Arabidopsis thaliana: one gene and its partner. The protein of the gene in region 2 interacts with the protein of the main gene of each other region in a pairwise test. Each region holds a gene or a part of one and is shown on either strand. Other genes may lie near its edges.

Evidence for each region. Proteins that work in one complex are often made in the same cells at the same time.
Region 1: the proteins of AT5G08650 (region 2) and AT5G51110 interact in a two-hybrid assay, tested with the Arabidopsis thaliana proteins (one large-scale study listed by BioGRID).

The regions. Positions count from the first base shown.
Region 1 is NC_003076.8:20,776,086-20,782,728, reverse strand, and holds AT5G51110 (Transcriptional coactivator/pterin dehydratase), read left to right. Parts: upstream 1-3,240; 5' UTR 3,241-3,348; coding exon 3,349-3,723; intron 3,724-4,047; coding exon 4,048-4,243; intron 4,244-4,321; coding exon 4,322-4,413; 3' UTR 4,414-4,725; coding exon of another isoform or gene 4,726-5,097; 3' UTR 5,098-5,228; downstream 5,229-6,643. Other genes in the region: AT5G51130 (S-adenosyl-L-methionine-dependent methyltransferases superfamily protein), read right to left, coding at 1-27, 152-199, 401-515, 612-833; PABN1 (polyadenylate-binding protein 1), read right to left, coding at 1,488-1,533, 1,636-1,754, 1,839-2,030, 2,275-2,333, 2,410-2,532, 2,612-2,714, 2,814-2,969; AT5G51105 (ECA1 gametogenesis family protein (DUF1278)), read right to left, coding at 4,726-5,097. UniProt on the Arabidopsis thaliana protein: Involved in tetrahydrobiopterin biosynthesis. Interacts with and acts downstream of the E3 ubiquitin-protein ligase SDIR1 in abscisic acid (ABA) and salt stress signaling.
Region 2 is NC_003076.8:2,806,923-2,817,042, reverse strand, and holds the start of AT5G08650 (Small GTP-binding protein), read left to right. Parts: upstream 1-3,440; 5' UTR 3,441-3,822; coding exon 3,823-4,062; intron 4,063-4,158; coding exon 4,159-4,335; intron 4,336-4,433; coding exon 4,434-4,520; intron 4,521-4,719; coding exon 4,720-4,776; intron 4,777-4,936; coding exon 4,937-5,002; intron 5,003-5,438; coding exon 5,439-5,501; intron 5,502-5,855; coding exon 5,856-5,900; intron 5,901-6,003; coding exon 6,004-6,104; intron 6,105-6,366; coding exon 6,367-6,463; intron 6,464-6,705; coding exon 6,706-6,777; intron 6,778-7,248; coding exon 7,249-7,403; intron 7,404-7,486; coding exon 7,487-7,544; intron 7,545-7,828; coding exon 7,829-7,909; intron 7,910-8,138; coding exon 8,139-8,225; intron 8,226-8,344; coding exon 8,345-8,416; intron 8,417-8,506; coding exon 8,507-8,641; intron 8,642-8,751; coding exon 8,752-8,825; intron 8,826-9,210; coding exon 9,211-9,298; intron 9,299-9,616; coding exon 9,617-9,694; intron 9,695-9,780; and 4 more. Other genes in the region: AT5G08660 (D-lactate dehydrogenase (DUF668)), read right to left, coding at 1-40, 151-267, 367-470, 662-731, 923-1,020, 1,100-1,193, 1,388-1,478, 1,573-1,665 and 2 more. UniProt on the Arabidopsis thaliana protein: Promotes chloroplast protein synthesis. May act as a fidelity factor of the translation reaction, by catalyzing a one-codon backward translocation of tRNAs on improperly translocated ribosomes.

The DNA of each region.
Region 1 (6,643 bases), about 18 Mb from region 2:
GATGCCAGTGAGCATCCTCAATGCGACCTTCAATCAAAGAAAACATAGTTCATTTAGTGCAGACTTGAATGATAATGTAGTTAAGAGTATAATTCAGTTCCTACACAAAGCAAAACTTGGAAGATATTATGACAACCAATTATAGTCTTACTTGTATCAATGTCAACTCCAAGAATGCTCCGGCAACCGAACTTTTTTGCTGAAGAAGAGCAAAACAATATCAGCTAACGACTATATAAAATTATGGATGCTGCCAGAGAGATTTCAGACACAATGGAAGTTCAATCACACTTTACTATAGCATTCTCATAAGGACAGGTATAGCTACAACAACATATCTATTACTATAATGGATGGACATAGATAGGAACAAATTATGATATTGATAAGAAGAAGATACCAATATGAATAGTCATGATGCCGCTGTTGCAGCCAATGTCAAGACAGTCTTTGCCTTCAAACCATTCCTTCTTCAACACTTTAAGCCGAGGATCCTCATCCGTGTCATTGCTTATCTAACACATTATGTTGCCAAACGAATCCAAAATCAGATACTAAACCAAAAGATGAGCAGACTATGAAGGAATTTGAAAATATACTACGAAACTCACTCGGTAGCCATAGTAGTTTCTGTAATTTCCGAAGGGATAAACTTCTTGATTCTTCTTCTTCTTGCTTTGATTACAATTTCCTTGTTGTCCTTGTTGTTGCTTCTGCTTCTGCTGTGTTGGGACTTTCTCTTCATTAGCAACTACTTTCTCAACACTCTTCTCATTCTCATTACTTCTGTTTCTCTTCTTCTTATTCTTCTTCTGATCGTTGTCCCGACCCATTTTTTTCTCACACGCGTTGATGAACAAAGCTCGCGAAGTTAGGGTTTCTTCTATGTTATCGCTATCAGCTAGATTCTTAGAATCGAAACAAAACGATTAAGTCTAAACAGAGAGATTCGACGAAGCTAGCTCCTAGAGAGGTTTTTCTTCGAGGTTAAGCGGCGCAGAGCGAGGAGGAAGAAGAAGAAGAAGAACCGAACCGCCTTTGAAAGTCCAAAAGGGTTTAACGAGTCTCATATTTAAGTAATCCTCTCTTTTTTAGTTAATACATTCTTTAAACCTATTTATGTAAATATACGAAAGTTTCCTTTTCTTTCACCGACGTGGCCAAATTAATCTTAGAGAATTAACTTTTGTTTTTTTTTGGTCAATATGCATCAAATCTAGAACAATGGAAGCTTGCGAGTTATTGTGAAATCGTGACTCGTGTTTGAAGATAATAAAAACAAAGGAACTCATCAAAATGTTGCACTTGTCATCAAATATTGTACAGAAAATCTAGAATATAATTCCCCTCTCTCTTCTGCCATACAATTCTTCAACTCATCTCTGTTAATCGAAACAACTGCAGCGTCCGATGAACCGTGTTGATGATGATAAGCTTTCCCGAAAACGGAGAAGCAGCTGCTACTTTTTTAACACCAATTTGCCTAATCAGTACGGTCTGTAGCGCATAGGCCGTCTGAACCTGGGAACTCTCCTGCACAAACCATCAACCATTGTCAATTTTATGAACAACCATGATGAATCAAACAAATGGACTTTAAAAGAGAGGATAGGCAGGTAAGGTTCTAGAACACACCCATAAGCATATGGAGGATAAAATGGAACTCCTGGCATGAATCCCCTCATCGGTCTAAAGGGACGCCCTCTTCCTCGAAATTGCCTCATTCCAGGTACATTAGTCCTCTTTGCAGATACCTGAAAATAGATTAAACAAAGTTTAGTAATGACAAATCGTAATATGGAAAATAATTAACTACATCGTATTGAACGAGTTTGCACCTTTATCTGACGACCATGTAGTTCTGACTCGTTCAAAATAAGCGAATTCTGAACAGCTTCTACTTCCACAAATTCGACATACGCAAAACCTTTAGGTTGACCAAACTTATCTGTCAGAATTGTAACCCTATTCACTGTCCCACATGATTGAAAATGCTGCTGGACTTCCTCTGGAGTACATGCATAGTCCACCTAATATACACAAAAAAACAAAGACACAGGATATCTAAAGAATCAGCTTCACAGATGGGAGATATGAAGGCTTTCTGAAATATGAAGGAAAGTTAGTTTAGCAATTACTAGAGATAAAGAAATAAACAACAAGCAGCCTCCAAATTTCATTGATACCAAAGCAATAAAACACACAAACTTTCTTTAAAAAAGATACAAACATATATGAGAAACATGTGAAAATTAATGGTGGAACAAGCCTCACATTGCCAACATATATTGAACGCGAATCCACTTCTTCCTTCTCAGCCGCACTAACACCACCTGAAGGGTCTTCATTGATATGCAACAACATAAAAGGTATTGACCCAATTAGCTAACTGACAAGACTCCACAATACTATTAATGATTTCCTTCTCATACTCAAACTCCAGTAAATTTCTAGACAGATTCATTGATTCACTAAAAGATTCCAATATGTAAACCCAAAGCAATATCATAATCAACAAGACAAGCTTTAAACCTAATCTATCAATTTAAAGGTTAATGTGAAGCTGCGCACAAAGATTCAAGATTTTACGTATCAGTTAATAAGTACAAACCTTGACTAGCACCCATATCTTTCTCAGCCTTGGCTTGCATTTCACGCAAAGCTCCAGCTTCTTCCTCAATCTCCTTAATTCGTTTCTTCATATCCTCCAAGTCCTATCAAACAATCAAAGCAAATAACAGACTAAATACAGTAAAAAATAAGAAGAGTCTCAATTGGATAAAAGTAAATTATAGATCGAAGAATCACAATACCCTAGAGCTAGAGCCAGGTTCAAGCTCCTCATCTCCGGCGGCGGCACCTTCTTCTCCGCCGTGTTCTTCGTACTCTTCCGTATCCATCTCACCTTCTTCCTCTTCTGGGATCTCTCCACCGTACACCTCATGCTCTTGCTCATCGTGCACCGGCATCTTTCTCTCTCTATATCTCTCACTCGGCGACTGTCGTTAAAGCGAGAAACAGAAGTCTCGGAATTTTAGGGCTTGAAATCGGGAAAGAAGGGAAGGTTTGTTTGTAATTAAAGATACCCAAAAAGGATACTTTCGGAATTATGAAATCTTAAGTAGATTCACCAAAAGTGGACACAAAAGTACAATCAAACCCAATGGGCTTCTCAGATTAAAACGTGACGTGTAAAGTCGGTCCCACGAAAGTTTATTGTGGTTCCCATTAGTCATTAGTGATTACGTGGCACCTCACCCATTTAACTCAGTCCAGTGGTCTGAAAATCGTTTCGCTCTCTAAAAACCAAAACTCTTATCTTCGGTACAGAGCAAATCACAGCTCCCGATGGCCGCCACGTCATCATCACCGCCGTGTAACATCTCCGCGTCCTCCCTCCTCCTCCGTCAACCTTCTCGCTCAATCCTTAAAGTGTTCGGTTTATTACCACCTGTAAGTAGGAATAACCGTAAACTCGGCCGGTTAACGGTGACCCGGTCTAATCTGGCGCAGGATTTTCTTGGTGACTTCGGAGCTCGTGACCCTTACCCGGAGGAGATAGCGAGTCAATTCGGAGATAAAGTGTTGGGATGCCAAAGCACTGAGCACAAGATTTTGATACCAAACGCATCTGTTTTGTCTCTCTCCCAGCTTCAGTGTTCCCCTGTTTCGTCTTCACAGCCTCCTTTGTCCGGCGATGATGCCAGAACTCTCCTCCACAAGGTACTTATACTATTTCTCTCTTAGTATAAAAATGTTCGAGTTTTGATTTTACAAGTTTGTTGGTTGATCAAAATATTGTGAAAATGTTATTGATTCTGCGTTTAACAGATTTCTAATCTATAAAGATAGAATTGTGACCCAAAAATATAGAAAAGCCAATGAAAATTTTAGTATCATGAGGGACATATTAGGAACAATGGTTACGAGATTAAAAAAAAATGAAATGATTAGTGTTGATAAGGCTCATGTTGGTGTTTTGGTTCACGGTTACCACTCTAATGATGTGGTACATCAATCTCAATGATTATTATGTAAACGTTTTAGGTTTTGGGATGGAGTATAGTGGATAATGAAGCGGGTGGTCTGAAAATAAGGTGTATGTGGAAAGTGAGGGATTTTGGGTGCGGTGTTGAACTCATAAACAGGATCCATAAGGTTGCTGAAGCTTCTGGTCATTACCCTTCTCTTCACTTGGAAAGTCCTACCCAAGTTCGAGCTGAACTATTTACCTCTTCTATCGGTATGTCAAATATTTGATGTTCGAGTTTGAGTTTTAATATATGGTTTCTTAAGACGGTTTGTTGGATGAATAATGCAGGAGGGTTGAGCATGAATGATTTCATAATGGCGGCTAAAATAGATGATATCAAGACTTCTGATCTTTCCCCTAGGAAAAGAGCTTGGGCGTGATCTTCTTTTCATTATTTTGGAACATTTTTGTTTGATAGTATGTAATGTATGTGATGTATTCTAAATTGTGTGTGATCGGTCTACATGTCGAGTTATATAGAAAGCATTGTCATAACCGCATAAGAGATATCACGCAACATGTCTTTGAGATTCATTCATCAATCAAAAGAAGAAAGAACATCAATCATATGGAGCACAATATAAGAAATGAGACATTATTATTAGATTAAGACATTATTATTATCATTTCTTCTTCTAGAACATTCTGGGACTAACAAAAAATTCGAAAAAACACAACTACATTTTTGCATTCTAATAGGCGGTGGTGGTTGGAGGACTAGCCATTTTGGAGCATTGGTGTTTCATCATAGGAGGGAAAAACGGGTTGGATGGAAGATTTGGTAAGCAGTTAGCTTCAGCGTCAAGGAAAGCTTTACAACAAGCAGGACCAACGCCTTCAAATTTGCCGGACATTACGGCTTGTTGAATCTCTTCAAAGCATCCCGGCAAATCCATCACTGTTGACCAACATTTGCTCAAGTCGGGACTTCCTGCCATACCGGGACTTGGTTTGAACGGATTTGGAAACGGGAACATGATTGGGGGAAACTGCGGTAGCTGAGCATTAACGGAGGCTGCGATGCATACAACTACTAGGAGAGAAACAACACTCTTGATCGACATGATGAATATTTGGGGGACTATGCAACAAGAGAAATAGATGACTTGAGTTTTGTTTGATGAGATAAAGTTATTGGCTATGAGATCCAATTTATACTGTAATTAGTTTGGCGAAACGTATTTTTAAAAGTTGCTTTCAAAATCAAATTTGTCGTTTTAATTTTGGAAGAAAATCAAAAATAGTCAAAACGTTTGATGCACATTGAATTTGATGCTGTCATATTTCTCATATGTAAAGAAATAAATCTTTCCTAACAATATGATAGGAAATAATACAAAGATGACAGAAGGGAAGCAGTAACAAATTTTAAGTCTCTTTCGTCTTTATTCATCTTGATATATATCATCTCCTAATTTTTTTTTTGAGATTTTATTTACATTCATAGCAAGAAAAAGAAAAAAATCTTTTCAATTTAGGAATTGTTTTTCTTCCAACTTTTTGGAATCCTCTATATAGTAAAAGATGTGGCAAGCCCATAATTGTTCTCATCATTTTTATTTTTCATTTATTGAATATAATATACTCATTGTCAAACACTATTAATTCCACTATCCTTATCCTTATCCTTATTATTTTTTAAACCAAACATATTTTAATATTAAATACACCATCCAAAAATAATATTTTCGGATTTCTAAATATTTAGCTTATAGAAAGATTTCTTATTTATCAAATAAATTAATTTAATCAAATTTAAATTTACTATTTCCCAAATTACTAAAAACTTAACTTTTAAAATTAAAACATTAAATTATATAGCCCATATTTTTATCCTATAAATTTCATGCAGTATACTATATAGTGTCTATCTATTCAACACAATCATAGTTTTTTCCTATAATTTGATTTAAAAAAAATCATTCTCCTCTATACATAAGAGAGTCTTTAGTGTTTAGGATATAATCCCACAATTTTTCTCAAGTATTTTTTTCTTTAATTCTACTATATATCATTATTACCAAACATTTTTAATTGCAAATACTATTTATCTTATTTTCTTAAAACTAATTTTTAAACACTCATAAAAGATTTTTAATATATAAATTTACCATTTTAATAAAAGTAAATAGTATAAAATTTACGGCAATAATTAGATAAAATTTGTTACCATTTAAATTTGAAGATATGTTTGACCCTATATGAATCTCACATATGTTCTCAAACATTTGGATTTTAGAATAAACTAGAAATGGTTTCATACGTTAAACAACTTTGTATTGGTTCTAGTTTCACTTATTTCCGTTGTCTCATCATATGCAATTGCAAGATTCAATACAAAGGTTACAGAAAGTGAAATCAACGTCATATGAACAAACAAAGATGTCAATGCATCATTTTGCTTTGAGTTCTTGAAATCATCCTCTCAAATTGCAACACTAGATGTCTGGTCTAGCCAAATTGAAATCATCATTTTGTTTTATATGGATTTTTGTTTAAAAACGAAATTAAAAATCGTAAAATTAAACCAAATAATTTATATTTTGCTTTCGATTTATGAATGAAATCAAACAACAGAAAATAGCAAGAAACAATTTTTTATTTTGATTT
Region 2 (10,120 bases):
GTGTCCTCTCCATCTCATCCTTAATTTGTGTAACCGAAAGCTGTTATAAAAATCATAAACCCACACACCTCGTGTTTAGTGTGACTGGCCAAACAACCACATTATTTCTTCAGGTTTGTACACCAGAGAGTGTAAATTAGAAGACATTACCTCCTTATCGACATTGAAAGATTTAATCTTGGAACGAAGAGCCAATTTTATACCAGGTGGTAAGCTTTGGTAAAGAGAATCCCTTGCATTTGAAGTTATAGAGCTTGCACGAGCGACCTATACCCATTGAAACACACATGCGATATGATTGAGAGAATACACAGAAGTACAGAACCAACCAAACCAAATGAAACAATGCTACGTTTGTGCACTCACAAGTGTGTCAATCTGCACAATTATATTTGCATAATGTAAAGCAAGACCAGCAGGTCCCAATCTTTTATCATATTCTGCAGCTCCTTTCTTCGATGGTTGATCATCTGGGCAAAGAAAAATAATTTAATATAAGAAAATTCAGGTTGTTGCGTGAAAACTTAATTATGGAGGATCAATTAACAAGATATATTAGAGCATGTAGTAAAAAAGAGTAGTGGACGAGAGAAAAAATCAAAAGCTTAGATACATGCTCAGTAGCACATGGTGAAGGTACAAAAAGGAGGAACTTACATACCGGCACCACCGAAGATATTATGAATCTCTAGCAACAAGAAATGTACAATGTCTACTAGTTTCTCCATCACCTGAAATACAAATTAGCAGGTAAGTTAAAGATCATAATAATCTATTTATGTTAGCAAGATTTTTTAAAACAAGAGATTTGGTTTGACTGAATTTTAGTTGGTGAAGTGTAATGTTTAAAGTGATTTAAAATGATGCATTTACACCATATAGCTGAAGGATTGGTGGTGTTAGTTGATAAATCTGTACACACCTCTTCAAAACCTCTGGACCACAACGACTTTTTCTTTAAGCTTTTCACTACCTTTCTCTGGGCTTTAAGTTCCGTTTTTAAGATTGCAAGGCCATCACCTACGTGAAGAAAAGAGTACTGTCATTTAAACGATGTTCCAAATCTAATAAAGCAGCCAAGTAGTCTTCGGTAACTTACCCTTACTGCTATTAGCTGAGTTCTCTTCTTCTCGACGCTTTTGCTCATAGTCTTTCTCCAATCGATACAATACTTGGAGTTCTTGGTATAGTTCCTGAACCAAAAGAGATATTGAGATGTGTGAGTGACATGACAAATAACCTCCCTTTTTTTATCACATATTCTTTCGAAAGTAAACAGCTACTAAAGAAGATAGCTGATAGCTCAACGCACAGAACACCACATCTAAGTAGCAAGAACAAGTCAATATGCTTTTAGAGTTTCTAATTTTTGAAAGTAGTCACTCACAGCAGTATACTGCACTAGAACCATCAGTTGGTCAACAACCAACACCGCGTCTTCCTTTAACTGCCTTTGAGGGGTTAATTCTTTGCTGATCCTGAGGACAAAAGAAACGATTCGGCAGCTTAAAAGAAAGCTAGACAAACAAATATTAACATTCTCCCATGTACAAATATTTTGAATAAAGCTACCTATCGAAATAGCGCTGTAAATTATGCCACTGAAAATCTTTGGATCGGTTTCCAAACCGAACCACTTCCCCCGAGAAAACTTGCAGCTCCTGCCTGCAAATATATCAAGTTAACTATCTTGCCATGTTTTAAAAAAGCTAGGAAAAAACAAAAGAAGCCGTCTAGACTAAAATTTTCACCTCTTATCAGCTGCAACAAGTCTGAGTAGTTCATCGAAATCATTCGAGACTAGGTTTTGAACACCCTCAGAATAAAGGATAGTTCCTTTTAAATGCTCGATGTTCCTCTTAGAAAGGGATTCAATGAGATTTGAGCTTTTGACAATTGTGTTTGCTACTTCAAAAGCTAAGATCCCAAGTTCATTGCCTTTAGTTGCAACTCCAGAAGTAAATCCACCGCTACTAAGATCTGTCATGCTACTTCCAAGGGTATCCAAAACATCTTTTGCTCTACCTAACCCCGCTTTGCCTAAAAGCTTACTTGCCTCTGTAACCTGCCACAGTATAGCAAATTCGGATTGGTCTCACGACATTTCAGGACTTCTAAACTTAAAAGACACTTGCCGTTACTAAGAGACAATGCTTTAACTCTTAATCTTAGTTGCTAAAAAAGGAGCTTCATTTGGTCCATACTAACCTTTGAAACAGCGGTTTGAGTTGATTTTGCAGACCGAATTTTCTGTGATGGAGCCATAGTATACGTCGGAATTCCATCATAGAAATTATCTTCAGCTTCCCTTTCGCGGAAAGAGAAAACATCTTTTAATTGATTTTGTTCCTTGACGTCTTTAACCATAAGCTGCCTCATACCAGGAACAATCAAACTGGTTTGCCCATTTGGTTGTGAGTGGCCAAAATCAGGTTCTCGACCATCATCAGCCACACTAGAACCAGAATACTCGCTGCCAAAATTGATTCCAAGGCTCTTGGAGCAAAAACTCCCCATAACTCTTTTCCAAAGACCTTTAAGCTAAGTTATCGAAAAGATCATGCCACTGTGGGGAAGAGTAATAACCTAGAACAAAGGAAAAAGTCAGATCAAGAGACTCAAGGAGACCAAATCTTCCAAACTAAATTAGTAACACAGAGATAGGATCGTGTCCGAAATAGTTTAAGACATTGTAATCGCCTTGGGGGAAATTAACAGATTCACATAAAGCCAAAGCCGTTCACGAAGTAAAAGCCTTTAAGTCAAACACTGTGCAAGTCTTCTTTCTCCAAAAAACCTAAGCAAGATCGTATTTTGAGGAGAGGAATGCGAAGAAGAAGACTTACCCAGTAGAGAAAAAGACCAGAAAAGACTTGGGCCAAGCCAATTTCGGAGGTATAGAGCTTGGGATTCACGACACACAACAGTGAAAAGACAAAAGAGACAAAGGAACCTCGAACACGAGAGAATTGATGTTAAAAAGGAGAAAGTCAAGGAGAGTAGTATGAACTAGGAACGAAGGAAGAAATCAGAAAAACAAAAATTAAAAGAGAGATTGGACCACACCAAATTGGCATCAGCTAAAGCCAAATTGAAACAACCAGCTTGATAAAGAAACAAACGAAGAAAAGTCTAAACCTTTTTTCTTTTAATCTCCTCACACTCCATGTTAATAAAAAGAGTCACAGGCGGTGATGGATTGGTCAAATCGTCCCTTATTACCACGCCATTGACTCATTTTGTGCTCTGTCTTTTTACATTCCGTGCAAGTAAAAAACTCATCTTTACTTTCAATCCCTCACTCCTCTTACTTCTAAACCGAAATTGCGCTAAAAGGTTAGGACTTTTCATAGGGATTAAATTAGTCTTAAAAGGCATGTGAAGATCTTATATAAGAAATGATTAAACACTAATCAACTCATCATTGAATAAAAAAGAGTCTTATATTCTCAAAATGCATGATTTCTGGTTCATCGAATCAAATCATAGCACAACAATATTGAACAAAAAGCTTATTTCTATGTTTTTTGACATTTGATGTTCTACTTCGAATATTTTTGGGTTTAGAATTATCTGATTTAAAATCAATTTATTTGATCTTGTTCAGTTTCATTAAATTTGTGGTCTAATTTCGGTTTAATTCACACAAAACAAATTCGTTATTTTAAGAAAACAGATTTGGATCGAATCGGGTCGGGTGGGTTAGAATCCGATGGACAGGCCCAATTGGATACAGTGGCCCAGTTACATAGTCTGTGGCTCAGGATACTTTGAATTTCTCTCAAAACAGTAGAGAGAGGTGTAGAGAGCTTAGACAGTGCCATGGCCATGGCTTCTGCTATGGACTTATCTTCTCCTCCAACGTTTTTCTTATCCGGAACTTCTACATCTTCCCCATCTCTCCGTCGTCTCTCCTCCATTTCCGTCTCTGGATTCCGCCGTCACTCTAATCGGAAGTTACAGATACTTTGCCAAGCCACAGCTGGAACTGAGCCTCAGAGCGGTCTCTCTGTCTCTGGCTCCAAATTAGCCGCCCGTTCTGGTCAAGACCGTCTTTTGAAGGTCGGGTTCTGTTTTGTTCTCTCTCTTCATCCGTGTGCCGAAACTTGAGAAGAATTTGGATTTTTTTTGAAACTGAATTTGTTATGAAATTCGCAGGTTCCAATTTCGAACATCAGGAATTTTAGTATTATAGCTCATATTGATCATGGGAAATCTACGTTAGCGGATAAGTTGCTTCAGGTGACTGGTACTGTTCAGAACAGAGATATGAAGGAGCAGTTTCTTGATAACATGGACTTAGAGAGAGAACGAGGCATCACTATCAAGCTTCAGGTTTTTCTTTCAATCGCTTTCTCTGCACAATCAAAAATCAGTTTCGATAAGATTGCTCAACGGTCTGATTTGTAACTTTGCGGTGTATGTTTGTGTAGGCAGCTCGAATGCGTTATGTTTATGAAGATACACCGTTTTGCCTCAACTTGATAGATACTCCAGGTCATGTTGATTTCTCTTACGAGGTACTTACAATATTCTAATCTACTTATTGTCTACGGATACATTTGAAGCTTAGCCTTATAGTTATTTTTCATATGTGAGAAGTTACTTGGTTTGAGTGTTATATATCACCTAAAAGCGTAATTTTTTTTACAGTTAGGAATATACACAAACTATTAAGTTGCAGTTTTGATGAAGAATGCACTGTTTATTTGTACATAGGTTTCCCGATCTCTTGCTGCTTGCGAGGGTGCTCTTCTTGTTGTGGATGCATCCCAGGTGATTTTTCTTTCTCTTGACATACAATTTTCTGACACGCTGTGGAAACCTGGAATCTGTATTGTTTATGCCGTTTTTTCGCTTGGTAATTTCGTTCTTTTCTGATGGTTACATACTTACATTACTGAAAAACTTAAACTTCCTCTATCATGTGCTTTAGGGTGTGGAAGCACAAACATTGGCTAATGTGTATTTGGCCTTGGAAAACAACCTCGAAATTATTCCCGTAAGTACGGAATTATGCTTCATCTTATTAGCTATATGTGCTAGTTATCATCATTCCTTTTAACAAATCACATTTCAACTATATGTGGTAGTTATCATCATTCTTTCCTTCGTCTCATCTCCATGGAAGATTATTTAAAAATGTCAATGTCGTTTTATTTAAAAGAAGTCGGAGTCTGCAATAAGTTAACTTTCAAACAAGGCAAATATGTTAAAAAAAATAGGTAGTATCACTCTGGCAGTACATAGAAGATGCGTAGTAAAGAAAAGAATAGCTAGTCTAGGATAAAATGATTATATCATTTAACGTTTCATTATTGCTTCAACCTGATTCATGACTATACAGGAAATAATAATGTAAGGTGGTTTATTCTTCTTTCAAATATTTGGTCTGCATACCAGAGTTTAAAGCAAATGAACTCTACTTCTTCCTGCAGGTTTTAAATAAGATTGACCTTCCAGGCGCTGAGCCAGAGAAAGTTCTCAGGGAGATTGAGGAGGTTGGTGATTATGTTCATTGTGTTACCCATTTTATGATGTTCGTATTCAATAGCAATCATACAATGCAACCAGTAATAATTTGAACAGTATTCCTTTTTGGGTGTCTGCAAAAACTCTTCAGTCTTTTATTTTTCTGTTGTCAATATGTTATCTTGACATTTTACAAGGTTCTAGCTTCTAGTATTAGATATTATGTTGATTATTGCGGTACATTCTTTTATGCTTTAAACATTTTCTTTGTGATATTATGATCCAGTCTCATGTTCCTCGAATGGGGTAATTGTCTCATTGCTGCAATTTCAGAGACATCAGCCTTTATGTGAACACTGATTGATAATTCATATTGTTTGTAGGTTATTGGGTTAGATTGTAGCAAAGCGATATTCTGTTCGGCAAAGGTTAGATTTTAAAATTGTTTTGCTATTCTGCTACCCAAAAATTAAGACGTGTGGCTTTCTATCCATTCAATTACAATTTTTGGGGAATAATATATACACGCAGGAGGGAATTGGTATTACCGAGATTTTGGATGCAATTGTTCAAAGGATACCTGCACCTCTCGATACTGCAGGAAAGCCCTTAAGAGCTTTAATTTTTGACAGGTTTGCACTTGTTGTTTTTATTCATAACGATTTTTGCCTTTTCTAGAGAAAACAGTATGAAATTGAGTCTTGGAGTCGAAGTTGTATTCGTATATAATGATTGGACTGATCATTGGCATGTCAAGTCAGTACCAGTTAATCACTGGTGAACTAAAAATGAGTGTGAAATACTCGTGTTTGTTTTGCTTGATTAGTCTACAAGTGTGCAGTTTTTATATGTGAACTACTTTATATTTTTCGTCCAAAATTCATTTTGCTGCAGTTATTATGATCCATATCGTGGTGTCATTGTATACTTTCGAGTTATCGATGGGAAAGTGAAGAAAGGCGACAGAATTTTTTTCATGGCAAGCGGAAAGGTTTATCTCTTTTACTCTACTGTACTGTCTTTCTATTTAATCGAGATAGCTTTCCATTTGCCAATAATGAATTGAATGTAATTTGTGCATGAGATAGGTTTTCGCGGTCTATTTGAATAAAGCGATGTGAAGTGTTATTCTATAATTCTTTCAGGAAAAATTTGAGAATGTTTAAGCTTTTAAGAACGCTTACTTGTGTTTCACTAGTATCCTTCATGTTCTCAGTTTTGCATCAATTGCAGGATTATTTTGCGGATGAAGTCGGAGTTCTATCTCCAAATCAAATTCAAGTGGATGAATTATATGCGGGTGAGGTAGTGTACTCTTTTGAACATAATATTTTGTTTGTTTTGTTTACTTTCCTGTGCATCCATGTCCCATTTTCTTGTTGAATTTTTTTCTTTCAGCAGAAACCTTGGTATTATGAAATGAAAATGTCAGTATTCTTTTGCAGTTTCCGCCGTTCTATTCCAACACATGTTAATAGGAAAACTAAAAGCGTTTGTAAATGGAAGGATTTTCTTAGCATTTCCTTGTAGCAGCTTTGGCAGAAGATAGAGTTGTGGTTAATAACAATTTGAATGCAATGAAACAAATATGTTTTCACTTTTCTTGTTTGGCTATATTTGAGAAGAAATGGTTAGTTGCATCTTCCCTTGCTCAAGTTCTAATAGCTAGAAAGATGTTTTTAGCACTGATTGATGCTGCTGGTGTATATCAGATATGCCTGAATATCATGCCACATTTCTTGCACATATTTTAAAGGTTACTGTCCTTAAATACAGGTAGGATATATTGCGGCTTCTGTAAGATCTGTTGCAGATGCCAGGGTAGGAGATACAATAACACATTATAGCAGAAAGGCAGAAAGCTCTTTACCTGGTTACGAGGAAGCTACCCCTATGGTGTTCTGTGGTCTTTTTCCAGTTGACGCTGACCAGTACTGAGTTTTTGTTTTTCATTGTTGACTTTTTGCTTTTTCATTTTGTATTTTTTTTTTTCACACCTGGTCTATGATGGCAGGTTTCCCGATCTTCGCGATGCATTGGAAAAACTGCAACTCAATGATGCTGCATTGAAGGTATAGTAGAATTAAATGACAGAAACAACATTTTTCTTTCATCTGTACCCAGAATAATTTGCACGGACGAAACAACTATGGTCTTCGTATGCTTACTTAGCCAATGTATGTTTATGCCCAGTTGGCTTCGAATTGGAAAGTAAAATTGTGTTTTGCAAAGAACTGGTCTTCAGTCCTCTATTGTATGTATCTTTGTTAAAAATATTCACATTTGGTCTAAGGAGCGTATACGTTAGCATTAACATATCTATAGGTTTGTCCTCAACTTGGTTTTTATCCTGCAGTTTGAGCCTGAAACTTCGAGTGCCATGGGATTTGGCTTTAGATGCGGGTTTTTGGGTCTTCTCCACATGGAAATTGTGCAGGTCAGATATGTTTCGCTCTTCTTGTTCTAAAGTGTTTTTGGTGCGTCTCTGACTGAAAATTTCCTATGCAACAGAAGATAGAGAAAAGAAATTCATAGATACTGAGTTATCTGTTAGTATTTTACTTATTTACAGTTTCCTCCCCGATAGATACCCGCCATAAATTATACTCAACAAAGTGAATTATATCATTCTTTGTTCTTACGCTCCAGTTCACTCTTCTTCACAGGAAAGGCTAGAGAGGGAGTACAACTTAAATCTTATTACCACAGCTCCAAGTGTTGTTTATAGGGTGAACTCTGTAAATGGTGATACTGTAATTTCCTCTTGATCCCAAACTTTTAAATATTCTTCTTTGTTCCCTGAAAATCGCATCCTTTTGTCTTTCTTTCTTGATCTAGAGCCTTATTACCTGTGAAATCAATTTTACTGCAGACTTTGTGCTCAAATCCATCACGCCTTCCAGATCCTGGGCAAAGGAAATCGGTCGAGGAGCCATACGTTAAGGTTGCCTTTTCTACTGGAGATATTGCTGATAAGTTCACACACCACATTTCGTAGAATTACATTTCCTTACTGCAAAACCATTTTATACAGATTGAACTGCTCACACCAAAAGACTATATTGGTGCGCTTATGGAGCTCGCTCAAGAGAGGAGAGGGGAGTTCAAAGAAATGAAATATATAGCTGAGAACAGAGCTTCAATCCTCTATGAGTTACCTCTTGCAGAGGTGAGATCTCTGCTTGTGCAGAGTTAAGATAACCCCAATGAAAGTTTAGCCATGTCTCTCTTGATTATGTAAACTGATCTTCTTGTTAATCGCTCCCTGCCATTTTGCAGATGGTGGGTGATTTCTTTGACCAATTGAAGTCGAGAACCAAGGGATATGCTAGCATGGAATACTCCGTTATTGGGTTAGATCTTTCAACTTTTAATACACAGATCTTTCTCTTACTTTGTGATGCTTGCCTTCTATTTTTGTTGATTAACAAAGAAATGCGTCAGCTTTTTTGTGAAGATAAGAATCTATATTCTTTTCATAGTAATCCCAAAGTGATAAACAAGTATCTAAAATATATATATTTGCTTAGCAGCATCAGATCAATTTCAATCAGGTTAATTATCGTGTTGCTCTCTATCGTTAAATTTGGTAGCCCTTCTTTATACAAGTTAACTACTCAGCTTCGTCAGTTTCCATTTAAGCTTAATACATAATATGTTTCTTTTGCTCTTTTTGATGTCTTTCTTACCATCTTAAGGTATTCAACTTTTTTTTTTTGTCTTGTAATATGTGAGCAGGTACAGGGAAAGTGATCTGATAAAACTCGATATTCTGATTAATGCTGAAATGGTGGAACCTTTGTCAACCATCGTACACAGGGATAAGGTTATTTTGCTTAAGCTCTTTAATATGAACTTTTATGAATACAGCATACATACGCACTCTTACACCTGAATACAAAAATTTGGTTCAGCAATCTCATTGATACAATTTCACTTGCCCAAAAAGTTTGGATAAGTAGATTGATGGAAACACGAGGCGCTGCCAACTATCTTTTACACATCTCTGATTGTAAAGTTTTGTAGAACTGTTCCCATTAGCTTAAAGCTCTTACGGCAGAGATTAGTACATCTCTCACGATTTAGCAATGATTTATATCTTGTCCTCACAGTATTGTGGAATCGTTTTGTACTGTGATTCCAGGCATATTCCGTTGGGAGAGCTTTGACTCAGAAACTCAAAGAGCTTATTCCACGACAAATGTTTAAAGTGCCCATCCAGGTATATATCTGCATTTCCAAGCATTTGCAAACAATTGGCTAGAGAGTTCTCTTCCAAATAACTTACATTTCTACGAATGCTTGAAGATTTGAATCTTACACCGAGGGCCTGAGGCACATAAGATGGATTGGATCTTAAACTCTTCTTCTTCTGAGCTTTTAAAAAACTTACTTGTGATCAAATGGGTCTGATGAATTGTGTTCCTGCTTGGTTATCTGACAATGCCCTTAGAATATAGAAACCACGGAAGATGTTTTGACATACACATATACTTGCAGGCTTGTATAGGATCCAAGGTGATTGCTAGTGAAGCACTCTCAGCAATCAGAAAAGATGTTTTGGCAAAATGTTATGGTAAGTACACATTCCCTTGGTTCCCTTCCTCCTTTTATAAAAGCATGAAATAACCACCAGCTGACTTGATAT